Diceros bicornis minor: one gene and its partners. The protein of the gene in region 2 purifies or fractionates together with the protein of the main gene of each other region. This does not show direct contact. Links are inferred from orthologs where the notes say so. Each region holds a gene or a part of one and is shown on either strand. Other genes may lie near its edges.

The links.
Region 1: the proteins of CAPN1 (region 2) and CAST purify together in Homo sapiens (co-immunoprecipitation; 4 studies listed by BioGRID and IntAct, counting the BioPlex papers as one, with this or other methods). This does not show direct contact. The link is inferred for Diceros bicornis minor from reciprocal best matches to the Homo sapiens genes CAPN1 and CAST.
Region 3: the proteins of CAPN1 (region 2) and CAPNS1 purify together in Homo sapiens (co-immunoprecipitation; 4 studies listed by BioGRID and IntAct, counting the BioPlex papers as one, with this or other methods). This does not show direct contact. The link is inferred for Diceros bicornis minor from reciprocal best matches to the Homo sapiens genes CAPN1 and CAPNS1.

What each region holds. Positions count from the first base shown.
Region 1 is NC_080740.1:22,274,961-22,284,274, reverse strand, and holds the start of CAST (calpastatin), read right to left. Parts: upstream 3,752-9,314; 5' UTR 3,651-3,751; coding exon 3,576-3,650; intron 3,031-3,575; exon of another isoform or gene 2,940-3,030; coding exon of another isoform or gene 2,910-2,939; intron 1-2,909.
Region 2 is NC_080770.1:7,974,022-7,983,921, reverse strand, and holds the start of CAPN1 (calpain-1 catalytic subunit), read left to right. Parts: upstream 1-5,636; 5' UTR 5,637-5,867; intron 5,868-6,841; exon of another isoform or gene 6,842-6,943; intron 6,944-7,622; 5' UTR 7,623-7,623; coding exon 7,624-7,890; intron 7,891-8,049; coding exon 8,050-8,119; intron 8,120-8,371; coding exon 8,372-8,490; intron 8,491-9,900. Other genes in the region: SPDYC (speedy protein C), read left to right, coding at 255-396, 667-725, 982-1,067, 1,173-1,344, 1,435-2,004. UniProt on the Homo sapiens protein: Calcium-regulated non-lysosomal thiol-protease which catalyzes limited proteolysis of substrates involved in cytoskeletal remodeling and signal transduction. Proteolytically cleaves CTBP1 at 'Asn-375', 'Gly-387' and 'His-409'.
Region 3 is NC_080773.1:8,517,668-8,527,166, reverse strand, and holds the start of CAPNS1 (calpain small subunit 1), read left to right. Parts: upstream 1-4,909; 5' UTR 4,910-5,014; exon of another isoform or gene 5,015-5,025; intron 5,026-5,056; exon of another isoform or gene 5,057-5,227; intron 5,228-5,915; 5' UTR 5,916-5,933; coding exon 5,934-6,121; intron 6,122-7,043; coding exon 7,044-7,077; intron 7,078-7,366; coding exon 7,367-7,456; intron 7,457-7,604; coding exon 7,605-7,662; intron 7,663-7,753; coding exon 7,754-7,818; intron 7,819-9,128; coding exon 9,129-9,197; intron 9,198-9,292; coding exon 9,293-9,371; intron 9,372-9,499. UniProt on the Homo sapiens protein: Regulatory subunit of the calcium-regulated non-lysosomal thiol-protease which catalyzes limited proteolysis of substrates involved in cytoskeletal remodeling and signal transduction. Essential for embryonic development.

The DNA of each region.
Region 1 (9,314 bases), on a different chromosome or scaffold from region 2:
TAATTACCCCCCCATTGACCTTGGAATCTCAAATGACCACCCACTGTTTCCATTCCCAGCAAGCTACATCATTCTTTAAAAAGCACTTGTAGAATATATTTAACTTTCTGGGAAGTGTCAAAACTGATTAAAGAACAGTATCATCAGATGTTACTCCTAGTTTAAAAGTCTTACCTGCAACGGGAAGCAAACCAATTCAGAAACTGCCAACCAAAAGAGGAAAGTTGTGTCTGACCTCCATTCTCCCAACACCCTAAATCCTCTTTGCAGACCCTATAAATTTGCATTCCTTACTCCTACAAGTCATTGAAGACAAATGGTCTGTCCTGCCATGGAAGGCTTGTGACATTCTCAGGCTGGCTGCAACCATGGGGCCTCCCAAATGACTGGGCTCCTTGATCATTCTGCCACTGGACCCATGGGTCTAATTAGGCTAAGAAACACCTTTAATTAACACAGTCTAATCAAGTCAACTTATGACTCAGGAATGTGATTACTGGTGTAAACCAAATTTCCTCTCCTTCATGCTTCATCATTATGATGCTCATCAGATGTTCTTCAAATTTAGCTTTCCAAAGTTGTTTTTTTTTTTTACTATGACCACATAATTCTACAGAAGATAACATCAAAGATATTGATGGTATTCAATGTGGAAATGTACATTGCAATGTTTCACAGACTAGCTGTATAGGTGGCCCTCCCTTAAACAAACACACCTTAGATACATCTTTTAATTATTTTATTTTATTGTGCCTAAAATTTTAAAGTTAGGTTATTAAAATCTTTTTTAGTATTTAAAGGATCCCACATAAGATATTTTAGTTACAGGATTTACCAGAAGCATGTATATATATAATATATAATACATACATACATATGTTATATAACATATGTATGTATGTTATAAATTGGCTCCACAGATTTATGGGTGGGCTTTTGTGCATGAATGTGCATATTTTGTAGTGGGAAAATGGTCCATAACTTTCATTTAATTCTCAAAATGGTCTGTGATCACCTCCGACAACCACCAATCAAAAATGGAGAGGAACCCATGTCTAGAGCTGTCCTGTCCAGTCCTGTAGCTGTGCTTATCGACCGCACTTGAAATGTGGCAAATGTGAATTGAGTTGTCCTGTAAGCACAAAATATACACTGATTTCTAAGAATTAATATGAAAAAGAAGATGTAAAATATCTCAATGATTTGAACATTGATTACATTTTAAAATAATAATGTTTGGAATATAGTGGGTTAAATAAAATATATTATTAGCATTAATTTCACCTGTTTCTTTTTGCTTTTGTTAATGTAGCTACCAGAAAATTTAAAATTACATGTGTGGCTCACACTGTATTTCTGTCGGACAGCATTGGTTTGGGAAAAGTCAAAGCTTGATTACAGGCATATTGCTGATTCCAGGAGGTTCCTACTAGCAAACGATTTTTATAATAGTGCCAAAACTGGATTCTATGAGAGGTATTAGTAAAAATGTGAGACTACACCTAAACATAACAGGGTTAAAAGTACAGACAAACTACTTTCATCCAAATATTCCAGCATAATTTTCTTTAGAGAACCATGAATTTGGAAGGAGAAGTCTGATGTCAACTCTGAACTACTGCCATTTATATTTGCAGATCATTCATGTGGTACATTTTGATATGAACCTTAGAACAATAATGACTCAAAGCAAACTTTTGCTTTTAGCATATCAATAAGAAGCTACATTTTAAAAGTCCAGAAAATGTAATGGGAAATATTCGTGAGGAAATATCTCAAGGGAAGCTGGAATTCCCAATCACAAAAGGTATGTGGGTATGGTACTTTGATTCATGAATCTAATTAGTCCTTACCAACTCTTACGTGGTGCCTATTATCACCCCCATTTTATAGATGTGGAAACAGGTTCAAAAAGGTGGACTCACTGCCGTTTGAGAACAAGGACTCTGACTTGTTCTCCACCGTGTACTTGGGGGCTAGTACTGGGCCTGGCCCATAGCAGATGCTCAGTGAACCGCCATTGACTGGTAAGTGACAGCTTTCTGATTCCAACACAAGGTTTCTCTCCAAAGTGTCTGATAACAACATCCTTGCTTTTTCCAATAACACATTCTGAGAAAGAGAGAGGTGTACTTAACCAATTTTTTTAAATTCTCAACATAAATCAGTGGGACAAAATATTTTGACTCTGTCAATAAAACTTTTGTGTATTTTTTTGGGGGGAAGCAATCTAACATTAAATCATGCTTACTGACTCCAAAACATTACCAGTGCCAGCTCGACTGGATATCACACCTAAGTGGTTGGGCAGGCATTCAATGCAGTAAACAAATGGAACACCTGTACCCCTTATCCAAAAGTACAGAGCAGCTCGCTCGCTCGCTCTGTCTCTCTCTTTCTCTCTCATTCTCAACTGGGGTCTTGATCTCACTGGCTTCTGCTCCTTGGAGTTTTGGGTTTTCTCCTTGCCTCCCATCCAGGCTGCCTCCTCTGCGTTGGAGAATGCACGTCCAACAACGTTCCTCTAAAAGTTTGGAGCTTTACTTATGGGTTAAAAAAAGTAAAAACACGAGATCTGAGCTCTTGTGAGCTCAGCCCTAGTTCATTCAGGAATCCGCGACCAGGGGCGGAATTCCTCCAGCAACAATTCCTGTTCCATTCAACTGAAGAGTGAGAGCCGGAGCCTGGTGCGTCTGCTCACACCGACTCGCACGTCCGGGCGCGCTCCCACATACCACGACTGGGTGAGTCTCGGCCTCTCCCGGAGGCTCACCTGAAGGTCTGAGAGGAGGTCGTACCCGGTCCCCACCCTTACCCCGCCAAACCCCGGACAATAACTCGTCCACACTCCCAGAAAGGCAAACACATTCCCTTCCCAGTCCTGCCCAGGCACGATCGCTCCTATTTACCGTCTTGTACCACCAGCTTGCGAATGCCATGGCGACAACCGGTTTGGCTCTGAGTCGCACGGCAGAGGACCCAGCACGGACGCGGGGCGCTGTGCAGGGGGCCCCAGGCTTGCACTCCGCGTGTCTGGACCTGGACGGCGCTGAGCTCTTCAAGCCCCGCAGCTGTCAGGTGGGCGGGCGCCTGGGCGGGGCCCGACGAAGGCCCCGCCCCCGCCGGCTGGCCCCGCCCCGCCCCATTTGGCTCGGGGCTGGTTAGGGAAGATGTGTTATTTCTGCAGGCAGCCACGCCCTGGAGCCCGGATCGTATACGGAAGGCAGGGTCCCGCCGTCCAGTTAAACTACCCTACCCGCTCTGGGGGTCCCGAAGAACTTTATTCCCCTTTCATCTCCATCCTCGTTTCACTCACGTCTCACCAAACAACTTTTCTCGACGCGGGCCACCCCCTATGCAGCTCGCGCCACGCCCAGCACGCTTGGCCCTGGCCCGGGAATCCCGGCCACCTCCAGCCACCTGCCCGGCCGCAGGCACTGAGCCCCGGGCCCTTCTTCGGCCTGGGGAGGGGCGCCCAGGGCAGCAGGCCAGGCAGGCTAGGCCTAGAGGAGGGGCCCACGGGCCGGGGTCCTCCCAGCGCTCAGCCCTGCGGCTCCTGCGGGAGCGCCACTCACCTCCTGGGTGTGGCGGGCCGCTGCAGCGCGCCGGGGCCGCGGGGAGGCGGCGGGCTTCTGGCCCGGCTGGGACATGGCGAGGCCGCGGGGAGCGCTGCCTCCGGGAGGGCGCAGCGGAGACTGGAAGGGAGGCCCGGGCGGGGAGCGCTGGGAGGGAGGGAAAGAGGGAGGGACCGGAGGGGCCGGCGGGCGCGCCCGTGAGGCAGCTTTTCCGACCCAGCCCCGAGCCCGCGCCGGGGCTCCCCCTCGCCCCGCTGGGTCCTCCCCTTCCTGCCCGCCGCGGGCTGGGGCCCCCGCTGCAGCGGTCCCGGGCTCCCTGCCTGAAACTTAACACCCTCGGTCCCGAGTCCTCCCCCAGTGACCCTCCCCGCCACCCAGGACTGCTGGGTTCCCCGTGGGTCACAGAGAGGAGGGGCTGAAGGTCTCAGGGTTCCTCCTTCGACTTGCCCAGACTTAGCTTGCAGTTGCGCAACGGGAGAGCGGGACCCGGGCGTGGCCGGTGTACGCCTCGACACTTCTCCCGAAGAACCTCGAGATTAGACACCTTTTCTGCAATCTGCCCTAGTTTAGCTAGGGGAAGAATTTACCAACTCCAATCTGGCTCAAGCCTGGACCGTCTAGATAAGGAAGCGGATCACAAAAACAAATTGGTCTGTGGGTGTGTGTGTGCGTGCCTGTGTATTTTTGTCATTTTAGTTTGGATTTTGGGAGAGCAATTTTGAAAGTTTAATCATGTCTTGTAAGTAGGAAGCCGTAGGTTCCAATCCAAATCCAAGAACAGTCCCCAATTTAAACCCCTATAGCCTGTCTGAAGCCTGGCGGGTTTTGTTTCTGAAGCTGGATTGCTTTTGTCTTTGGCTCATCTTAAACAGCACTTCCTGGTTTGGGGCTGGAAGTGAAATATAACAAGCCTGACTAGAAAACGCTCCTTTACAAACTCTGTCAGCCTGTGGTTGCTGCAGATTTGTGATCAGACCCGACAGAAAAAACCTGTTACCCTACAGTGGCGTGCCTAGGGGTGGCTGCTCTCTGCAGTGTTGTGATTTAGACAATTGGAGAGAGGGAGGACAGGTTATAGGAAAAAATTTGTCATGATATATTGAGCTTGGCAGAATGGAACTCTTGCTTCCTCCTACACTATCATTTTTAGGGATTCTGACTTCCCTTTATTAAATGGACTGGCTAGCTTCATTCTTAATGGGAGGAGCAGGGAGGGATGATTTAAATGTATTGCCTCTTAAAGAGTTCTATTATCTTTATATCTAGTATTTCCAACCAACAGGCTGCAGTGCAGGAATTGATAGATAAACATGAAACAACTTGGATAGGGGATTTATCATTGTCCATTCAAGGAAAATAGATTGGTGTCATGAATTACATTCATAATTGGGGAAAATACGTCATAAGCCTGAAAAAAATGCTTTTATGATTGTCACCAGCGATTTAAACAAACACATAAACAATGGGGGTGAGGAGATAGGCAGCCCCACCTCAGGGCTCAGGAACTGGAACCATTTCCTTACTTGGGAGCCTAGAGAGCCTAGATTCAGGTTCTAGATCCCTGAGTACATTATCCTAACTCTGGAAGAAGAATGGTACCCATTAAAGTCTGAGGTATTTTCTAACGGAGTATTTAAAATTGAACTTAAACCGGTTAGTTCTATATCTCTTGAAAGGCTTCCATGTCAAGCATTGTGAAAGGAACTGTAGAGGGAGCAATAATATAAAGATTAAAAATACACATTCCCTGCCCTCCAGGGACTTACAGCTTAGCTCATGTGGCATTTGTAACACAGGGTCATTTGGGTGACATAGAGCGTGTGACTAATACAAATATGCTTCAGGAGTTTGGCGTTTTGAGGGGTTTGGTGATTATAGGAAGGGCAAGGAGGCTTCAGCGGGCTGGTTGGCTGGTGGGATATGGACAGAAGAAGAAAGGGTGAAGGCAGTTCAGGAAATAAAAAGGAGCCCACCCAGCTGACTAGAGCTGCTGGTCCAAGTTCAGGAGTAATCAACACATTTATCAACTTATTTTCTAAGCAGCTACACTGTGCTACATGATATAGTTGATATCAAAATCTATAAGACATAATGACCTTTGCCTTAGGTTTTGCTCAAGAGCTGGAACTCATATAAGCAGAACATTATGGGGCAAACAGTACATTGATGACTATGAGCAAGAAGAACGTCAAAGAAGTTGAAGAAGAGGCTGATGTTTTCGCTTTCTCTTGTAGTCAGTGAGGAATGTGGAACTTTGATACCAGGATCAGCATTGAGCATCTTGGGAAAGCTTGTTTTGAATATATACGGCAACTTTTGCTACATTTTTACTTGCACATATTGTGTTTTCCTTTATTTACTCAGTAACAGGATGCCTGCTATGTGTCAGGCTCTGTGGAGGTACCAGGGACCTCCTACACTCAAGGACCTCATAGTCCAGTAGGAAAGACAGACAGATAAATCCACAACGCTGTGATGGTGGCCAGCGGAGGTATTCCAAGAGCATTGTAGGATCCTGAGGAGGGGCTTCTCATTCTGACCGAGGGCTGGGCAGTCTGGGAGAGGAAGGAGCTCAGGGGCTGCTTCCTCCCCTGATGTTGACTTAAGGGTTGACTTGAGTGAGTTGAAACCTCATGTTGACTTGAATGAGATGAAACCTGCTCTGAGTGATCTCCACATTTTATGTTCTCTTCATCTTCACTACTGCTGTCCCTGTTCAGAAACTCATCACTTCTCATCAGGAAATGTGTAAAATGAGAAAAAGAAAGACAAGATGGAGTCCAGAGAAGAAGCCAGTGGAACCTGAGAAGGCGGAAGCAGGTAGAGAAGTGGGTGCCAAAGGCCAAGGGAGGAAGGCCTTCTAAAAGGAGCGGCTGGGCCACAATGTCAAATGTCACTCAAAGGGTGGGTCAGACAACGGATGAAGAGTGTCCATTTGATCTGAAAGCTGAGAGGTTTTTTGGGTAATGCAGACAGTGGGTAAAATTGGGAAGGAGGCAGAGTTTTTCTGAGGTACCCACAGTTTGGGCAGTACTCTCCACTTTGGATGGTATTTCTTTCTGCACCACCACATACCCCTGGAAGGGAAGTTCCCCCACGAAAACCTGGGCCTTCTGGCTGACAACCAAGTGCCTTCAATCCCACTGAAACTTACCTGTACTATCTGCCATCTTGAGACTCTCGGCCAAATTCGCTCTGCTCCATAGTAATGTTTTCCTGAGTAAACCAGAAAAAAAAAAGGCAAAGACTAATTAGCAAAATATGGAAAGGCTCTCAGAGCCTCCTTTCCCTTATAACATGCATGTATCTAAGTAGGAGCTTCATGCCTCTGACTGTTGCAATATCCAGAAGAATGGCCTCAGAGGTGAATTTCTGTGCATAAAGGAGAGGAAGATGTGCTAGCCAGGTGGAGAATATGTTTAGACCATAGGATCCTTGCCATGTGCTATGGTCTGAATGTTTATGTCCCCCACAAATTCATATGTTGAAATCCTAATGCCCAACGTGATGGCATTAGTAGGTGGGGCCTTTGGGAGGTGAATTAGGTCATGAGGACGGAGCTCTCATGAATGGGATTGGTGCCCTTATAAAAGATGCCCAAGAGAGCTCCCTTGCCCCTTCCACCATGTGAGGATACAATGAGAAGTCCACGACTCTGAAGAGGGCCCTCACCCAACCATGTGGGCACTCCGATCTCGGACTTCCAGCCTCCAGACCATGAGAAATACATTCTGTTGTTTCTAAGCTCCCCAGTCTCTGTTATTTTGTTATAGGCAGTCCAAATGGACTAAGACACTGTGCTTCTCAGATCACATTGGGCTTGTGCATGGATGGCAGATAGGGTGGGGGCAGGAAGAAAGAATGGAGATGGAAGGATGGAGGGACAGAGGAAGAAGAGAAGGAAGAGAAGAAACAGCAGATGAAATAGTTTTAAATTCTCACTGCTGCCAAACAAGAACTTGAGTCACACACATACCTGTGGCTAGGCTCTCAGGTTTCATTTCTCATCCTTTATGTCTCTCTTACTATCTGTGCTCCAGATAGTAAAACACCTGCAAAATACCTTGAGGCCTTGTTCTTCAGCATCACGAAATGTCTTGCTTCTTGTCTGTGTGGACCAAAGAGGACTGAGATCATATCTCCTTTTCAGGAGTTTATTAGGGAGTGCTCTTGGGATCAGCACCTGTGGAAGGGAAGGAAGGATGGGCAAAGGGAGAAGCTGAGCTGGGAGGCAGATCCACTAGAAGCCTCAGATAATCCTGTAGGGAAGGATGAAGATGGGATGCACTTTAGAGACGTCCAAGGTCGGCAAGAGAGGGCTGAGCCTTTATAAGCCTGCATCGACCAATCCTTACATATGGTTGGGGGGCAGGGAGTAGGGCTTTAGGGGAGGGAGCTTGCTCCCCTAAGCTGTGGCAACCCTCAAATGGGGCTGAGAGATGAGGGCTTCCTGCTGGTGCCACTCCCAGGAGCCGGGCAATGGCTCTTTTATTGCTGAAGGGGATTCAAGTAGTTGATCACATCCATTACACTTCTCCATGCTATATAACACCAGAAAACTTTGCAAAGAGAATGGAGGAGGGAATAAATATTGTGAAAACATGCTGTTAAATTGCTGTATAACGGAACATTAGGTTTGAAAATATTACCCATTTAATTAAATTTCTCCCCCTTTTACAATGACTTTTGCCTTCAAGAGGGGTCACTGAAGAACAATTTGTTTCACAGAGCAGCCATGCTGTTAATACTAGTCTCAAGGTATATAAAAACAATGATTTTACAAATTGATTCCTAAGAATGGTTAGAAATAAAGGGAAAATAAAATTTTTGTTTTCTAGTTTTTGTCTAGTGGTATTAAAACAAAACAAGATTACTCTATAGGTCTGGCAGCAGGCAAGGAGGTAGGTATGAGACACCTCCGGCTTGCAAGGAAGCTGTAAGAGCCTTCAGCTGTCTTCTGCTTTCCTTGCTAATTTCCTTTTGGTTTACAACTTTTCGTCCTCTGGGGTGTGGGTTCATGAAAAGAGCTTGGTTCTCAGTGTGATCTGCTGGCCAACAGCTAACTAGCACTGTATGAATCATCCCTCTTTAGTGTTTACAGTCCTTGATGGCTCCTCAGTGCTAACAGGATGAAATTTAGACCCTTAATATGGCCTGCCAGGACCTGCAGGATCTGACCAGGCAGTCCTGTCTTCAGCCTCGCCCCTTCACGCCACTGTATTCCAGCCATGCCCTCCTGCTTTCAGATCCCAGAACATTCCCGGCTCTTCCCAGTGCCTGCCTTTGTTCATTTCCCCTCCCCTGGAATATACCTCCCTTCCCATTCCCAAAGCTCTCTCTACCTTTCTCCAGCACTGCATTATATTGTAACTGTCTATAGTCCCATATAAAGCCCAGGAACCTCATGGCCCAAACCTAAATGCAGTTTATATTTAAAGAAACAAGTTCGGCGTTCCAAAAGTAATTAAAAGCATTTGAATCTTTACTGCAATCCCTTTACTGCAATTGAAAATGCCTGAGTGGACAGACAATCTGAATACTCAGCAAAACATCTTAAAAGTTCTTTCTCTCTTTATCTTACTCCCATTATCTCCCCCATGCTCTGCAACTTCTATAAACTTTCCAAAAACCAACTGGAAGATGCTATCTTGTCTTATTTCTCCTCCTTGTTTCCTTCTACAATGATATAATTCTTCCTAGAGGGTCCTATGGAGGTGAAATCATTGTGAATATTAATAT
Region 2 (9,900 bases):
GTGGGGTGCTGCAGCCTCCAAAAACTCTGCTTCTTTTCTGGCTCCCCACCCCACCCGAATCCCAGTTTCCTTCTGTTCCCAGCCCCCACGTCTCCACCCCCGTCCCTCCACCTTCTGGAGGTCCTCTGTCAGGCCAGCCCTGTCAATCCTCTTGACTTGTGGGGTCGAGGGGGTAGCTGCTGAGTCCTGGGGCTGCTTTCTCTACAGGTCACCCTGCCCCACCCCACCCCGCCTGCCCCCCAGCCCCCTATGAGATGAGTGACACCCAAGACCCTGCCACTGCCCCTGCGGTTGCCACCCAGGTAAAGCTGGGGGGCTGGAGCCGTCAAGGCGTGGGCAGTGGGTCTCTCCGTTCCCCCCAGCACCAGGAGCTCCAGGCCTTCCTCAGCCTTCTGGGTGAGTCCATGAGGGGGCTGGCACGGGAGGGGCTGTGGGGACCAAATGTGAAACGGATGTGAGTGGTGGAATCTTAACCCTCCCGTGCAAGCGCCTGAAGTCTCCGTCTCTTCCCTTCTCAGGAGACCCCGGTTTTGGGCGGGGCGGGGGGGGGGGTTGTGTCAGAAAGCGAGTTCTGTGGAGGCTTGACCTTTGAAACTTCTGATGCCACTCTTGTCTTGTGGGGGCGGGTGGTGACCCCAGTCCACCATTCCTCCTCTCTACCCCCAGAGCACAGTTTCCTCCAGGAATTCCTCTCCAAAGATCCCTGTTTCCAGATTTCGGATAAGGTGAGGGGGCACAGTGGGGGTAGAGGCGGGGGTCACTGGGGAAGGTTGAATTAGTGGGGCTTGAGTGCTGCTCATTCATTGGCTCCCCTGGGCTGGTGGAGGGAGCGCCTCCCTTTTAAACCCTTGTCTTTCAGGCCCCTCCCCACCATGTTACTGAGGTTTTTCTAACCCCCACCAGAACTTCCTTGGGTGCACACAGGCTGGTGCAGCCCCCCACCCAGGGCCTCCCTAACCTCTCCGTGTCCCATCTTTGCAGTACCTCCTGGCTATGGTGCTGGTCTACTTCCAGCGTGCCAACCTGAAGCTCTGCGAGTACACCCACAGCAACCTGTTCTTAGCTCTGTGAGTGGCCCCAGTGGGTGGTGGAGACGCTTGGAGCTGTAGGATGGGTCAGGGCAGATGCTTCTTATGGCAGATGCTTATTATGGCCCCCGCCTCTGCGGCCAGGTACCTTGCAAATGACATGGAGGAGGATCTGGAGGACCCCAAATGTGTGATTTTTCCATGGGCCCTGGGCAAAGATTGGCGTCGTCGCATGTCAGACTTTCTGCACCAGAGGGACAAGCTGTGGGCACGGATGGGCTTCCGGGCCGTCGTGAGCCGCCAGTGCTGTGAGGAGGTGAGGACCAGCCAGCCAGCTGGCATCCTGGGGTCGGGGAAAGAGGCTGGACCTCCCATCCCCATTTACCATCCACTCTACTCATGCCAGGTCATGGCCAAGGAGCCGTCCCACTGGGCCTGGACTCGGGATCGGCGCCCCCACCACGGCAGGGCTCAGAGGAGCTGTCCAAAGGCCCAGGTTCCCCTCCCCCGAGGCCCCGGCCTCTCGCCACCCCACTGTTCCCTCTGTGGCTTGCCCCCTCACCGCAGCCACTGCTGCCACTACCCCTGCCCCTTGCCTGTCTTATCCAAGTGCCCTTCCCCAGACCCCGAGTGGCATCGTGCTGCCTGCCAAGCCTGTGTCTCAGTGCCTGAAGACCCCTGGGGTGGGGGCTTCCTCATCGTCCTGCCGCTCCGGCTGCAGCTGGAGCCAGGCACCTATACCCTCCACCGTGAGTTGGGGACAGGAGCTGAGGGTGGCCTTGGGAGCCCAGGAGGCGGGTATGGGGCCCAACAGAATGAGAAGGAGGGGCACGGGGCCTGGGGTCCAGCAGGCCTGGGCACCATCCCAGCTCTGCCACCTCCTGGCTGGGTGAGCTTGACAAGTTTCCTCTCTGAGCTGCTCTCTGTCCTTCTCCCCCTAGTTTTCCCAAAGCCTCGGCAGTGCCCTGGGCGCTGACACTCACTTGCAGGGTGAACAGCAGCCTGCTGGCTTGCCCGCTGACCCAGCGCTCTACTGGCTGCGCCCCTGTGGCCTCCTGTCTATGGACCTCAGGCTGGCAGTGCTGCCCCTGCCCCCTGCCCCCTCCTCCCAACTTGCAACTGTACCCACTCTGACCGGGGTCCCCTCTAATAAACTCGTGTCCACAGGACACCAACTGTGCTCAGGCCCCAGCCTGGCTCCTTGACCCAGGGTGGGAGTGGGAAGGGAGTTGGGGGGAGAGGGGGATCTGCCAGGTTGAGGTGCCAGTTGTTGAGACCCATGAGCACAGGCTCTGGAACAGATCTTCCCCTTCCCATTGGTGGCCAGTCGTCCTGAGCCTCAGTTTCCCCTCTGTGACATCACCTATGGATGATGAGATCTACACAGTGTAGAGGGGATTGAAGGGGACAAGGTGTGTGTGTAGTCCTTAGAAGAGGGCCTGGAACCTAACCTATTGGACTAAAAAGCTCAAATGGAAACAGCTCTATAGTCAGTCTAGAAATGCCTGCAGGGCCCGGGCTGTTTAGAAATAAGACTTAGTCCTTGCCCTGGGCTGCAATCAAACATAATGTAATTATTATAATACAACCCCCCACAAAAGTAAATTTGTTAATGAGGGAGCATGGAAGGCTTTCCAGAGGGTGGCATTTGAACTGGGCCTGAACAATGTCAATTTTGCCCATGGGGGGGCAAGGGGGAAGTTGTGAGGAAGGATATTTTTGGAAAGACAGTCTAGACTAGTGACTAAGACTTAGTCTCTGGTGCCAGACAGCTTAAGTTCACATTCCAGGTTCCTGTGTGATCTTGGTGTGTAATTTAATCTCCTCCATTGCCGCATCTGTGAAATGGGTCTATACTAAAATGGGTGTTATGAGATTTGAATGAGTTAATCCCTAGAAGAGTTTAGAACAGTGCTGCTGGAATAGAGCTCAGTGAACCAGGGTGTAGAGGGAACTGCTGCCTAGAGGGGAGGGTGTGTTGGGGAGAGGTAGAAGGAAGACGGAGAAGGCTGGAGAAGTAGCTACAAGGGTCAGATGGCAGAGGAATCCCCTGCATACTCAACGAGTGGCTCCCAAGGAGCGAGGTGGTAAGAAAGCCTGGAGATTGCGGACATTAGAAGCCAAGACAAGGGCTAGGAAGTATTTTTAATTTGTTTTTCAAATAGGTAATATCTTCACATGTACATTTTGCATTTTGAACTGAGTCACCTCCTACCCCTGACTCCTGGCCACCTGGTTCCCCTCCCTGGAAGCAGTGAAAGTAACAATTTATGTCCTTCCAGAGAAAGAATCTAAACATACATAACCAAATGTGGTGTAATAAAATATATATATATATTTGGTCTTTGTTCCTGGTTTCTGGCACAGAGCTCTTAAAACCCTTGGAATCTCCTAAGTGATAGGAGTGTCTTTTGTTATTCATGATGAGCCCCTTTCAGCCACATCTGAGTTTCTGCTAATGAGGTGACTCAGGGTAGGGCCCCTACAGGGCTTCAAGGTGGGGGCTGGTCACCAGTAAAACCAATCTAGTGGGTGCAGAACTTTGAGCTCCCCCACCACCTCCGGGGAGGGGAGAGGAAAGGGGCGGGGCTGGAGATTCAGAGCGTTTCTGGGTTGGTGAACAGAGATATGCTGGGAGGGTGGCTCCCCGGAGAGGGCACTCCGCCCCCCCCCGCCCCCCTTGCCCTATGCATCTCTGCTATATGGCTGATCCTGAATTGCATCCTTTATCCTAAACTGGTAATAGTAAATAGAGCACTTTCCTGAGTTCTGTGAGCCTTCTACCAAATTATCAAACCTGAGGAGGGAGTCATGAGCACCCCCAAATTTGTAGTTGGCCAGACAGGAGTGTGGGTCACCTGGGGGTCCCATTTGTGGCTGGTGTCTTGTGGGACTGAGCCATTAACCTAGGGGTCTGGGAATTAGTGTCAAAACTGAATTGAATTTTAGGCACCTAATTGGTGTTGGAAAGTTGGAGAATTGATGTAGAAAAATCACCTGTATTTGGTATCTGGGAAAAAACACATTTGGTGTGAGAAGTGGTGTCAGAAAAAAGACCACACCAGATATGTATATATGTCCCATCTCCTTTTTTCAAAACTGAAATGGAAGAATTCCATGCATCCTGTTGTGTGCTTAACATATTTTGAAGATGGTTCCTTATGCATACATTCCTTTTGACAGCTGTATAGTATTCCTCTTTATGGATGTACCACAATGTAACTTGTTCCTTCTGATGACATTTAAGTTTCTAGACTTCTGCTATTCCAAACAGTGCCACAGAGTGTCACTAAGACCTTGTAAGGAAATCATTATGCAAATGTGGAAAGATATCTGTAGAATGAATGCCTAGAAGAATTGCTCAGCCAAAAGCCAAGTGAGAATTGTCATTTTGATGATTTTTGCCAAATGTCTGTCTATAGAGGCTATGTCCATACCACACCCCCTCCCCCCAGAAGTGCATGTAAAGGTGCTTTTATCAGTGAGGTACCAGAATTTTTATCTTTGTCAAATTGATAAGTAGAAAATAGTGTCTTGGTGAAGTTTTAATTTGTTTTTCTTTTGGATGAACTTAAGCATTGTTTCATGTTTAAGAGCCGTTTGTCTTCTTTTCTGTGAACTGTACTTGTCTTTGCCTGTTTCCCTACCGTTTTTGGTTTCTGATTGACATATAAGGGTTTGAAGGAATAAAAAGCCCTTCAAGATGTAAATTGTAAGTATTTGCTTCAGTTTATCATTTTGACTTTGCTGGATAGGCTTTTTAATGTAAGAAGATAAATTTTTTGTGGCTTCTGGGTTTTGTGTCATAGTATAAAAGACCTTTTCCACACTGAGATGACTAAAAAATCTTCTCCCTCAGCTCCTGGCTGTATTTTTGGTTTCATTTTTTACATTTAACTCTTGAGTTCATCTGGAATTTATTATATACAAAATTCCCTCCTATTTTCCTAATGCCTTTTATTGAAAAACTCATCTTTTTGCAACAAATTCGAAACTCTATTTATATTATATACTAAATTTTTGTATGCATTTGGACCTATTTCTAGATTTTTCTATCTTCCAATGATCTATGTCTGTTTCTTTAATTATTACATTTAATTATTATAGATCTGTCTTTGCTACCTCTCCAGAGCATCTTCCCTCCCCCAGGCCCCTGCTCCCTGTGATCCAGTCACAAGAAACACTTGGCAGTTCCCCTCATTGGTGTATTCCCCCAGCCTCTGGATCTTTGCTCATGCTGTTCTTTCTCCTAGGCACACCCTCACCAGCACCTCATTGCCTAGTTAACTCCTACTTGTCCAACAGGACTCAACTTCCTTAATCCCCAAAATTGGACCAGGAGAGCCCCCTCTCTGCCAGCAGGGGCTGGTCTGCCTTACTCATGGGTCTCTGCTGTTCAAAGACCTGCCAGAAGGGTTAGTCAAGATTGGACACATAAATGCTGAATGGTGAGGAGCAAAGGGCTCACGCGCTGGTTCCAGCCCTGACTCGCCAGGTGAGGGAGCTGAGCAAGTCCTCTGTTTTCCGCATCTATTAACTGGGAGTGAGAATGGCGTCAGATCAGATCAGTGGCTCTTAACCTTCTTGGGGTCGCGGGCCCTAAAATCCTAGGAGAGCCATGCACTGTTTCCAGCAAAATGCTAGTGTATACATCCTGTAAGAGCTGCAGCAGCTGCTGGCCGCGGCCCCCAGGCTCGGTGAAAAGACCTGAGCAGGAGGACCGCCGCAGCCCCCCTCTCCGATTCCTGGCTCTCCAGCTCCTTGCAGTCGCGGAGGCAGGATCTCCGGGTCCTGGGTGGGCCTGCCGTCCTGCTCGAAGCCTCTGCCGCCCCCTCCTGGGTAAGGCGGCACAGGGTGCTCCCAGTGGGTGGGCCGAGGCCTTGGGGAGAGGGCAGGGATGGCCACCTCTCGCAGTTTCCCGGTTCAAGAGACCCCAGAGCGCGAGAGAAAGATGGGCTCCCACAGTCGCTCATCTCCATCCTACTCGCTGCGTGAACCGGCAAACCGAGGCCGAGAGAGGCAGGGACTCAGCCAGGGTCACGCGGCCAGCCTCGGCCTGGGGGACTGATCCCCGCGCCCCGCCCGGCGCACGGAGCCGCCAAGGCCGAGTGGCGCGCCCCGAGCGTGCGCCCCAGGGCGCGGGAGTGGGAGGGGGAGCCGGCCCTGCCCAGGAGCCAGGAGGGCTGCGGCGAGGCCCCGGCGGGTGCGGCTGCCGTTCGCCCAGCGACCGGCAGAGATCCGCTCGCCGCCAGCCCTGCCGGCCCTCCGAGCAGCTGCCGCAGCCCGAGGTAATCTCGGCCCCGCGCTGGCGCTGCGCTGGCGGGGGCGGAGGGTGGGGACAGCTGCGGCCCCGCGGAGGAGGGCCCGGGGGACGGGCCGGGGGCTGCAGGAGGCGGCGCCGCCGCGGACAGAGCGCCGGGGAATGCCCTCCGGGGGCGCCGCGTGGGGTGGGGCCGCCCGGCCCTGCAACTCGAGCTGCTGCCCCTGGTTAAAAATACCCCTGCCCTGCCCTGCCCCTCCCCCGCGGTGCCCTTCCGTCCCGGCCCCAGGCCTCCCACCCCGACAGGCGCTGGCCCCTCCCCGGGGACGACTCTGCCTTTTACTAATTTGTCCTCTCCTGGAGTTGCCCACGGGCCTGCGGAGGGAGGGGCGGGGAGACACCGAGAGTAAGACAGAGAGCCAGAGAAGGTGCCCGAGAGATAAAGGAGAGCCGAGAGGAAGCAGGGTAGCAGCCCGAGGAGGAGGAGGAGGACGGAAGGAGGGAGGGGGGAGGGAGGGGGGAGGGAGGGGGGAGGGCGGAGGGGCCCGAGGAGGGCGGGGAGGAGCGCTCTTCCTGGTTGGGCCCTGCCCTGAGCTGCCACCAAGGAAGCCAGCCGCAGGGACAGCAGCGACCCTCCCAGACACTCCTCCCCCAGGTAAGGAGCTGGGTGGCCGGGCCAGGATTCTCCGACTCCGGCCACTGGTCCGGGGCTGAGGGGCTGCCCCGTCCCCCTGCCCTCTGAGTGCCTGGGACAGGGACAGGGGCGGGGGTTCGGGAAGCCGCACAGCCCAGGCACCCGCCCCAGCCTGCGCTCAGCACTGTCTCCAGGGGCTGGGCTGGGGGAAGGCCGGAGGGGAAGGCTCTGAGGCCCTGGTCACCTCGTCTGTCTCCGAGGCTTGGGGAGGGGGATCCTGACTGCCTGGAGTTCTCAGTCCCCAAGCCAGGAAAAGGGGCCAGCGTGTAGGATCTTGGCTAGTTTGGGGAGGGGTTACAGGCAGCAGGCAAACAAGGTCAGACGCCTTCCCTGGGGTCTCTACTTTCCCGGTTCCCTGTGTTATTATCTCGGGGCTCCGCCCTGCTCCACCTGCCTAGCTGGCTGACCACAGGACTGCAGGCCCAGGACAATGGGAGTGTTGGAGAGGAGAGGTGGTGGCATTGTGTGGGGGTAGGGAGGTGGTGGCCAGCACATCTGGGGGCTGGGGAACTCCTCTCCTGGATTCTGGGAGCCTAGGGAGGTGGGCAGGTTTGGGGAGGAAGTGTGGGCAGAGACAGGCAGGAGCCCCAATTCTAGTCTGGGAAGGCCTGTGTTCTGAGCAGGCGCATCTGCCCTGCAGGATGGCTGAGGAGATCATCACTCCGGTATACTGCACTGGGGTGTCTGCACAAGTGCAGAAGCTTCGGGCCAAGGAGCTGGGCCTGGGCAGCCATGAAAACGCCATCAAGTACCTGGGCCAGAATTATGAGCAGCTGCAGACTCAATGCCTGCAGAAGGGGGTCCTCTTTCGTGATGAGGCTTTCCCCCCAGTGCCCCAGAGCTTGGGCTATAAGGACCTGGGCCCCAACTCCTCCAAAACCTATGGCATCAAGTGGAAGCGTCCCACGGTGAGAGGGGCCACCCGGGGTGGGACTCAGTTTACCCTTGATCCTGGGTGAGGACTGGGTCCGAGACTCCAGGTCTTAGTGGGCAGTGGGGTCTGGGGTGGCTGGGTTTCAGTGTCTGGGAGGGGCCAGCCCAGAGACAGGACTCTAGGTCTCTTGCAGGAGCTGTTCTCAAACCCCCAGTTCATCGTGGATGGAGCCACCCGCACAGACATCTGCCAGGGAGCCCTGGGTAGGCCCTGGGGGATTCTGAATGTTTTTTCCTTAGTAGCTCCCCATGCCCATTCCTTCCAGCTCTGCCCAAGCCCCTCCCTCCTGCAAGCTCAGACAGGCTCTGGCTGTCAGTGCTGGGGCTGGTTTGCCCAGATTCCTGGGTCTTTTCTGTAAGTCGAGGGAACCTCAGTTTCTCCCCAGCATGGGCACTCATGTGCACCACTGGGGGCAGATCGTAGAGCAGGCCTGACATGGGTCCCTCCCATCCCAGGGGACTGCTGGCTCCTGGCTGCCATCGCCTCCCTCACCCTCAATGACACCCTCCTGCACCGGGTGGTTCCTCACGGCCAAAGCTTCCAGAATGGCTATGCCGGCATCTTCCATTTCCAGGTAAGGGGCGCCGCACCCACCTGGGGCCAGGGGGTGGGGGACAGAGGGGTACAAGCACTGGAGGAGGTGAGGACTGATGAGGCACAGCAGTCTGAACTTAGGGTGACTCAGGGCCACACCCTGCGGGGGCCACCCTCCTATAAGGTATTTGACCTCTCCTTGCCTCTTGGATCTGTCATGTGTGAAATGGTTGGGCAGGTATTTCTCTGCTGGCAGATTTCCCGGGTCGTTGTGCGGATGCAGGAGAAAGTGCTTGGAAGAGTAGAAAGATCTCTGTTGTATCCTGTGGGACAAATCCTTTTCCTCCCCAGGTTCTGTTTCCCCCATCTGAAAAAGAAGGAGTGTTCTGCTGGGGAAAACAGACCAGCACATGTGGCATCTCCACCCTTGGCATCAGTCTCCCCCTCGCCCCCCACCCCTAAGTCCTCCTGTGCTTGGGCAACCTCCAGCCTCTGACAGAGCCCTGCAGAAAAGAAAGACTTGCGATTAAGTCTATTTAAACAAGCTTTTCCTGACCTTATTTGCGCACAGCGCCCATTTTTGAAGTCACACTAATGAATTCTCAGTGAGCTGGTGTTTTGGGAGAGACACACCCCCAGGAACCTGAGATGAGCCCCTCTGGCCCCGGTGGCCCCAGCCCTGCCCCCGGGACTCCTGGGTGTCCTCTCCTTCAGCCTAGGCAGGCAGCCGTTTACCCTGCTCCATCCTCACCCGCCTTAGGGCGGAGGAGACGGCCTACAGGACCCACAGGACCACTGGGCGGCCTTTGGCCAAGTGCCCCACCTGCCCGCGCTGGCCCGCGGGGGTGTGGCCTCTCCGCCCTTTCCCCGCCCCCTTCCCGCACTCCTCCAATCCGCTCCTCCCTGGTTTCTGATTGGCCCGCTCAACACTCCCCCACAACCCGCGCTACTTGGGCCCATCTCCTCCCTTTAGCCCATTGTTCTGCACCATCTCTGCCCCCCGCCCCACCCCACCCCCCAGCAGCACTTGGTCGCTTCTGGCTTCAGGCGCCCGACTCCTCCCACCCTGGGCAGTCGACCCATCACAGCATCTCTGAAGCAAACCCCATGATTGCGGGAACTCCGCCCGCCCATTTTGTAGGTTTTGTTCCACACCTGATTTACATATGTATCCCCCCCACCCCGACCCCCTCCACACACTCACCCTGGCCTAGAATGGGGAGAAGAGAGGTAGGGGGCTGGTTCCCCATACCTGGGGAGACATCTTGGTCTGTTTCAGAAATACCGATAGCGCTGTCCTAAAAGCTGTGCTTTTGTGATCTTCTTTAGTTTAACGGTGAGGAAGGCGCTGCTGTTCCCTTTTATGGGTCGGGAAACTGAGGCTCGGAGAGGATAACCTGCTCAGGGTTCTGTGTCTGGGATACATGATCTAGGATCAGGTATCTAGTAA
Region 3 (9,499 bases), on a different chromosome or scaffold from region 2:
TTTACACCTGGCTCTGCCATCCCCTCAGGCAAATGACTCCCGCTCTCTGAACCTCCACTTCCTCTCACATTAGTTCCTTTCCAGAGGGTTGTGAGAGGCCTTGCAGGACATGCCTGTAATGCAGTCACCCCAGCCTGGTCCCATCAAGCCCTGGGGCGGCATTAGCTAGGGTAGTTATGACTATTGCAAGTTTATTAATTGGTGGCATTGTGAAATTAACATCATTGAAGCAACAAATTGTGAGGATTAAAAGCGTGAGCTACAAAGCTAGCCTTCCTGGTTTGAATCTTGACTCTGACACTTATGATGGGGTTCAGGGCAGGCCGCCCCAAGATGTGCTACTCTGGATGTGGATTATTTCGAGCTGAAGACAATAAAGGCTCAGAAGACTCAGAAAGAAACTTTGACCTCCACCAGCAACTAACTGCCTAAAAGAATTTAAGATAGAAGGCCTGTTCCCAGGACATGCCATCACCATAGATAACTCTGGGTATGGATAGACTGGGAGGGTCCTTGCTAAGCCCATTCTTATCAAAGCTCTGAAAACCAAGTAAAAGTAGAAGTGACCCTTTGTAAGAGACATTTACATTTATAAGGGAAATCTCCATTTGTAAATGTGTCTTTCTCTCTGTACGGGGAAGAAGGGGGGATGACCTTATCTCTAGAAACTCTTATCAGTGAGGAAGGCAAGGACTTAAATCTGCATATTAACCTTACTCTTGTTTACTGTGCTTTTCTGGTAATCTCCCATAGCTGACTCCCCCACCCCCAACATCCTCCTTAGTCTCTAGCTGAAGATGGTGTTTAAGATGAGAACCTCTGCCATTTTGTCGAGTTACCCAGTTATTCCTGGGTCTCTCCCATGTATACATGTTATAAGGCTTTGTTTAATTTTCTCCTGTTAATCTGTCTCATGTAAATTTAATTCATAGCCCAGCCAGAAAGGATCCAGAGTGGGTAGAGGATGGTCTTCCTCCCCTTCACTTACAAGCTGTGCAATCTTAGAGAAGTAATCCCATCTCTCTGGTTACCTCAAGGGCCTGATAACAACTTCTACCTGCATCAGTCAGAATACGTTAGGTTATGCTGAGGTAACAAATGAGCCCTAGACTTTAGTGGACGAACATCTCAAAATTTATTTCTTGCTCATAGAAATAGGCAGATGTCCTCCACGCCATGGCTCAGCAATCCAGCCAGCTTCCTTTGTGTGGCACCTCTGTGCTTGCATAGCACCCAAGGCTGCCTGGGCAGCAGATGAAAGCATGGAGCATCCTGCACTGGCTTTTAAATGCTACTACTGGGAAGTGACACACCCAACACTTCCATTCACATTTTATTGGCCAAAGCAAGTCACATAACCATGCCTGAGTTCAAGGAGCCTGGAAGATGGTAGAAGACTTTAGTAATGTTTGCTGTACTATCTTATTGATGGTGCTGAAAATTCAATGGGAAAACCCACACAAAACATTGCATTCAACAAATATTGAGTACCTCAGATGTGACAGGCACTGGTTTAGGAACTGGGTACGTAGCAGTGAAAAAGAGAGACAGAAATCCTTGCCATCAAGGAGCTCACATTCTAGTGGGGGGACAGACAAGAAACTGAAGAAATAAGCAAACTCTGCAGTATGTCAACAGGTGATAATGGTAATGTTACCACACCAAAGTGGGTCTGCTTCTCGGTGAGTTGAAATCAGAGCCTTCACCAGAAGTAGTTGTCACACAAAGTAAAATTTGTTTGCCGCAAATAGAGACCACAGGGAATCGTTTCCAAAGCTGTGGCTCCCTGAGCACAGGGAAGCAGGAGACTTTTATGTCGGATGCGGAATGAATACTCAAAAGGGAGAGGTCGGCATTCGCTTGCGAAGTCTCAGTTGGAAAACACGCTTCCACGTACATCACATGTTATGGTAGTGAGGCCTTAGCTCCTCCTGGGGTGGAGATCTTAGCATTAAAATGAGGCAAAGGTCTTCTCTTGGGCACTTCTCGCCCATCTATGCAGGTGTCTCTTGTGGTGGGGTTTGGACTGGTTCAGGGCGGTTGGTGATTGTCTTAACATAACAAAAGAGAAAAAACAATTTGGAGAAACAGTTAAATGCTTCTGAAACCTCCCTTGAGTTCCTTGGGACAACTAGTGGGTGACAGTAAGAGCAGCGTGGGGGTGGGACGGGGAGTGTGGGGTGGGACGGAGATCTGAGAGGACCTTCCTGAGATGATGAGATGTGGAGACTTGAGGCACAAAGGCAGGGCTCGGAAGGGCCTTGGGGCTGGAGTGGCGGCCTCCCGTGTGCCGCAGGAGAGGGCTGTTGGATATGGCTGTGCTGGCAGAGCCTTCTCGTCTGCGTCTGGTCTGTGTTCAGCTGGAATATCCAGGTCAAGCTGCCAGTACAGCTTCTTCTCCTTTCTTACGAGGGAGGAGATGAGGGCAGAGAGGTGCCAGGACAGGTCACTAGGGACTTAGTGGCCGTGGTGAGACTTCGAGTCTTATAGTGGTGAGGTGCAGCCAGGGAGGGCTCAACCAGGAGGGTCCCGACCTGACTCAGGTGTTCACAGGCTCCCTCTGGCTGCATTTGGGGAAAGGACGGTGAGGGCAGGCACGGGAGCTGCAATAATGGTCCAGGCCGGAGAGGACGGAGGCAGGGCCAGGTTGGGGGCAGTGGCTGGGGAGAAGAGCTTAGTTTTTGTAGGTAGAGTCAACAAGGTGTGCTGACAGGTTGGAATGGGTGTGAAAGAGAAGTCAAGGACGACTCTGGGGTGTTTGGTCTCAGTCACTGGAAGGACCAAGGTGCCATTAACCTAGACAGGGAAGGTGGAGAGGGAGCAAGTTTGGGAGGAAGGTCAGGAGCTCAGTTTAGGATGTGTGAAGCTTGAGACACCGCTAAGACCCTTATGGAGATGGAGAGTAAGATGCAGAATGTAGGAGCCTGGAGATGGAAATTTCTGGGCTGAAGATAGAAATTTGGGTGTTGATAGCCTAGAGATGGAATTTAAGCCATGTATGTGGGGGAGATCCCTATGGCATGAGTGGGACAGAGAGAAGGACCAAGGCCTACGACTTGGAGCTGGCCGGGATTAAGAGTCAGGAAGACAGACCTAGATGACAATATGATTCAACTGGCAATGAGTGCTCTGAGAAAATACAGGTCACAAACAGGTACCCGCAAGCCTCTTCTAGTCTCAGGAGGCGACAGGGAGGGCTTCCTAAGGAGGTGACTCCTGAGCTGACACCCAAAGCCTTAGTAGCTACAAAACCAGGTGAAAAAGGCAGAAGGAATGTTCCAGGTAGAGGGCACAGCCCATGCAAAGGCCTGGCAGGCAGTGAGCCCCAGAGAGGGCAGAGAACAGAGGCTGCTCAGTCTGGCAGGGAGGGGTGTGGGGAGAAGGGAATCCAGATTAGTCATCACCACAAGTATTGGCATCAGCCAAGCCCAGTTTCATACCTGGTCCTGCCACCCTCTGTGACCTCAGGCAAGTTACCCTGCCTTCAGAGCCTCCATTTTCTCTTGTTAGTTCCTGCCTCATAGACAAGGTTTGTGTAGCAGTTCCATGGCCTGGCCCCAAGCCCTCAAGAAGCACAGCTGCAATTTTGTCTGTTGTGATCTTCTTGTTTGAGCTATTATCATATTAAAATATTTCTATCATTGAGGAGTCAATGCATTAGGGTAGTGGGTAAGGGTACAGGCTAGGGAATTTAACCTCAGAGTCAGTTTATTTATTTGTAAAATGGAGATAATATATAGCATCCATCCCCTAGGACTGTTATGAGGACATATGGGCTGATATGTGTAAAGTCTTAGGAGCATGCTTGGCAGTTATTTTTATCAGTATTATCTAAGGATGAGCAAGAGTCAACCCCCTGAGGAATCCAGGTGGGCTCCAGGAGGAGGGAATAGCATGAGTACAGACACAGAGGATAATAGCTATTATTTACTAAGCGTTTATGACTTAAATATGGTAGGGGCAGCGGGGTGGGGAGCATGGGACCCTTGTTCCCATTTTACAGATTAGAAAATCGTTGCTCGAGTCACTGTTTGGGATCCCACAGTTATTAAGGGGCAGAGCCCAGGATCCAAACTCAAGTTCAGCCAGCCTCGAGGCAAGAGCCTGGGAGACAGACTTAGTTCCCTCTGAGGAGCCCTGAAAAAGTAGCGGGTGCGCACGGGTTGGAGGCTGGAAGCCGAGAGCAAGCGAAAGGCCTCCAAAGGCTACTTCAGTCGCCCTCCTCCCCGCCCCCCCAACCTGACCTCAGGGACATCCAGCCTCAGAAATCAGGCCGTGGCCAGCGGACTCTTCCTGTGTCCGGGCACCTCTTTAGAGACTGGAAGACTGAGGCGACACTTGGGCCGGTCCGGGCAAAACGATCCTGGTGACCCTGACTCGGGGTCCAGGCGAGTGCGGGTGGAGGAGGCACAGGTGGTTTCGTGGGCGGCGAAGTCCCGCCCTCGGCTGGACCGCCACCCAGGCTGCCGCAGGGTCCGGGGAATCTAGTCTAGCCTGACTCCCTACCGCAGACGCGGGCGCTGATCCCCGGGCCTCCAGACGCTGTTTGTCGCCACAAGGCTAGGATAGGGCCTGAGTGCCAAGAGTCCTCAGTCCCTTTTCAAGCCGACTGAAAACCGCATCGGTGGCCGGGTGGAGGCTGGCTTCGGGGCGAAAAATCACACTACAACCCCAGGGGATCACCTCGGCTCTCTCGTCCCCGGGCGCCCTCACCTGGCCGGGAGAGTCGTAGGCACCTCAGACCTATTAAGTCAAGGCGGGGTTGGAACCCGGGACGGTGGAAACGTGTAGGGCGGAGCCGCGGCGGCCGCATCCCGTTACGAAGGCGGGGCCGCCGTGCGCAGGCGCAGTTCCAGCGCCGGCTCTAGGACCGCGCGGATACCCGCTGGGCCCCCAGCAGTGCCGGATCCGGTGCCCGCGGCCTGAGTCACGGGTCCCGCCCTACCGAGTCGGGCGCAGCCGGAGGCCCGGGAGCAGCGCAGGCGAGCGGACCGGCGGACCTGTGAGCGAGGCGGTGAGCGCCCGGTGCGGAATCCCTCTGTACTCCGTAATCCCAGCCCTGGCGGCCCCCAGCCCCGAGGAGACCCTAAAGTCCCGGTCTCAGGGGTCCCCCAGACCCATGATCTCAGATGCGAACCCCCAGACCTGTCCGGCCCCAGTTATCCCGCCCCAGGGATTCCTCCACTTTCCGTCTCCGGATCTAAAATACGAGCCATGGATTTGAGAGGTAAATCTGCTCGTAAAATCTGCCCTGGGTAGGCCTCCAGAACCACGGTCCGAGATCCGTGCTCCCAGTTGTAATGGTGACTCCGTTATCCCGGGCCCCGGGGCTCACACCCACAATCTTAGACATGACCCCACGGACCCGGCGGTGACACTGTAATCCTGCTGCTGGGAGAACCTAAGCCCCCAAGCCACATTCTGGGTTTCCTAAACCCTGCCCCGGGGGCCTCCAGGTGGAGAGTCTCTGATCCGCGCCCCTGATCCGCCCAAGACCCCTAAAGTCCAGTTCTGGGGCTCTGGATTTCAGATTCGAGCGCCCAAACAAGTCAAGGATGCCTAACACCAACCTGGGGCCCCCATCTTGAGAACACCCCCAGACTGGACGGTTCGGGTGCTTAATGATGCCTATGCGTAAACTCAGTCCAGGGCCCCCCAAACCAGACGGGGACCTTTTGGACCGGAGTGGGTTTCAAATCTGATCCTCCGTCCGTCTCCTACCCACCCGACAACTGCCCTCCCGCTGAAGCCCAGACCCCACCCCGAATGGACCCTCAAGCCCCGGCCCGAGGATAGGTCCCCACCCGGAGGCCTCATATTATTCCCCCACGTCCAGCTGCCAGAAATGGGTATTTTTGTGGGGAGGGGGCGGGCTCAGGGGCGAGGCGGCCACCTGACCCTTTTTTCCCCCTCAGGGATCCTGAGTCGCAGCCATGTTCCTGGTTAACTCGTTCCTGAAGGGCGGCGGCGGCGGCGGGGGAGGCGGGGGCCTGGGCGGGGGCCTGGGGAATGTGCTCGGAGGCCTGATCAGCGGCGGCGGCGGCGGCGGCGGCGGCGGCGGCGGCGGCGGCGGTGGCGGAACTGCCATGCGCATCCTGGGCGGGGTCATTAGCGCCATCAGGTAAGGCGGGGCCTGGGGAGGGGCGGGGCCTGGCGGAGGAGGCATGGCCAGCACGAATAGAGTGGGGTAACCTGGCGACTGACCTGGAACCTTCATTAGGCTGGGCCGGGGCTGGGCTGGGAGACTGGCCTTGAGGGGCAGACCGTAATGAGGCCGATGGCAGTTCAGGGGGCGGGGCTTGACCTGGGCGCTGTCTGACCGTTGAGGGGACGCCATCAGATGGGACCCGGGAGGTGGGGCTTCATGGGCTGGGCGCCGCCTGCTTTCAGTAACTTGGAGACGAACGTTAAGGGGGCGGAGCCAACGAGACTGGGTATCCCTTCCCGGGGGCGAGGCTTGTTTTGTGGGCTCGGCCTGGCCGCACTAGGTGGATCAATGAGGAGGTGGACCCAGAAGAGGCCGAAGCCTAATGGGATAGGGGAAGTGGCCTTGGGCTGGGCCTGGCCGGGCACTGGCTGGATAGAAAGATGCCCTGGTGGAGGGAGGAGAGGTTGTCGATAGGGGCCTCGTTAGCCTTGGCCACTGAGCAGTGATCCCTCAAGGGGCGAGAACCCGTGGAGCTGGGGTGGGATGTTGGAAGACACAGGCTTTCCGTTCAGGAAGCCATGGCGATGGAGCAGGTTCCTAGACAGGTGGGACCCAGGGAGCTGGGGCCTTCAAGGGCTGGGTCTGTTGAGGAGTCTGCCGTTGGGTAGGTGTGCCCTGGGAGGAGAGCAGCCAGCATGGGGGCGGGCCTGTGGGTTTCCTCGCTGCGCAACCAGGGCAGCAAGGATAGGGACAGGTGAGGGCAAGGACAGATGAGGCAGGCGGAGGGAGCAGGTAGGCAGGGTGGCGAGCTGGGGATTGGGGGGTTGGGCGTGGGGGCTGTCACTGCCCGCTGGAGGCCCCGCCCCCTGGCGCTAACTCCCCCGTTTCCCTGCAGCGAGGCGGCTGCGCAGTACAACCCAGAGCCCCCGGTAAGCCACCCCTCGCAACGGGAGACCCCTCTTCTCACTCTGAGACCTTTTCCAGCACCATCCTTGTCCCTTTGGACAGACCCCACCTCCTCTCCCTCTTTTCCTCCCATTAAGTCTCTCCCTTCTCATGTCTTCAACTTAGCTAGACCCACTCCCTGTCACTGACCACCTCTCCTTCCTTTGATCACTCAGCCCCCCCCCCCCCACTCTGACTTTGCCACACCTAGGGCTGTCCTGGCCAGGGCCCCCTCCCCCTCCCTGCTATGAGATCTCCTCCCTCTGTCTGCAGCCCCCACGCACCCATTTCTCCAACATCGAGGCCAATGAGAGCGAGGAGGTCCGGCAGTTCCGGAGGCTCTTTGCCCAGCTGGCTGGAGATGTAAGTAACGCGGGGCCCCCAGACCTGTCCTAACCCTTCCGTGCTTTCCCTTGGGCCGCCCTTGGACACACACACTCCATCGTGGCAGTCCCAAAGTTCCCATCCTCCTTCCTGACATGCTCAGACCCACCCCTAACTTCTCCCACAGGACATGGAGGTCAGCCCCACAGAACTCATGAACATTCTCAACAAGGTCGTGACCCGACGTGAGTGACTGGGGTCAAGGGAAGGTTTAGAGGCATGGTGGCTGGGGTAGCCATGATCTCTTGCCTCTGACCTTCAACCTGTCCCTCACAGACCCTGATCTGAAGACTGATGGTTTTGGCATTGACACATGTCGCAGCATGGTGGCCGTAATGGATGTATCCTTGGGGGCAGTCGGTGGGGGGGGGGCCTGGGTGAAGAGGGAATTTTCTGAGAGCATGATTGGGGCAGCCAGGGTGTAGCTTTCATACTTGCAGAGGTGGACATGCATACATCAGAACACACGCCCACTCATGGACATGTGGCTGTGAATAGTAACATCAGCTGTCATAGCTGGCACCTCACTTACTGTAATTCACAGCCACCCTGTTAGATGGCACAATTATTACACTCCCTTAAAGTTGAAGAAACGACTCAGAGAGAGGCTAACATCTGTCTGAAGTTATAAATAAAGAATAGTGGCAGGATAGGAATTTGGACACAAGTCTTGAGAACCCAGGCTTATAACTGCCACAGGTATGCCCACGTGCACACATACACATGTATCCAAGGGCACACCCACATACATAAAAGACATGAAGCCATGTGCACAGGGACCAGTCAGTAGCTGATCTTGGGTACTCGCACACTCAGCCCACAGGGCAGTGCAGACACATGCGTATGCACATGTCATGTGATCACACGCGTGTGTTGCATAGGGTTAAACAATTCTGGCTCTGCCCCTTAACAAGGTTGCTGAGCCTCTCTGTCCCTCAGTTTGCCTATCTGTAAAATGGGGTGGATGATGATGGTGATACTGAATTGGAGCTACATGCAAAAGTTTTAGCACAGTGCCTAGGAGCACATAGTAAGTGGTCTGTATGCATTAGCTGTTACTATGATCTTACTCAGGTAGAGTTTTCAGCTCCGAATCTGTTTCTTTCTCTGTCACTGAGGAATAATAGTGGTGGGGCTGGTGTCTTGAGGATTTAGGGAGAAGTGTTCCTGAGACGCTTAGCACTGTCTGGCGTGTCCTAGGTAACTTGATAAGTCCTGGCCCATTGTTGCTGTTTATTGAGAATTTATCAGACGTCCCCCCCGAGCTAAGGGCTTTATATTAATATCTCATTCAGTTCCTACCACAAACCCAGCGGGTAGAGTTCTAAGATACCCTCGTTTTGTCCATGTCCTCACATTTATGAAATTGAGGAATTAGCAACTATTTTCAGGTGAGGAATTTGTAGTTTGGAGAAGTTCAATATAATTCCCCATGGTTATGTTTAGAGACAGTCCTTTTTTAGGAATATAAACTAAACTATGTATGGCTAAAAACAAAAATAAAGGCACAGGCCAGGTGACATGACCAGGGTGGGGAGCTGGGGGTAGCCCAGGTTCCCCTGCTTGGCCGTTACCCTCGTCATGGACACAGTGTGTATAGTGCATGCGTCCGGGCACCGTCATTACACTCGTCTTAACACCCTCCCACCAGAGCGACACGACAGGCAAGCTGGGCTTCGAGGAGTTCAAGTACTTGTGGAACAACATCAAAAAGTGGCAGGTGCGTGGCGACCTCAGACTCCTAGCACAAAGACCCCCAAGCCGTGGAGATGCCCCATGATGTTCAGGTGAACCCTGACCTCCCTTTCCCCACAGGCCATATACAAACAGTTTGACGTTGACCGTTCGGGGACCATCGGCAGCAGTGAACTCCCACGGGCCTTTCAGGCAGCAGGTGTGGCTGGGAGGGACTTGGTGGGGCTGCGGGTGGGAGTGGCGAGGCAGCCCCCACTGAGCTGGTCTGAGCCTGAATCCTGGCAGGGGGGCTGAGAGGGTTGGGCCACGTGGCTCTCACACCTGAGA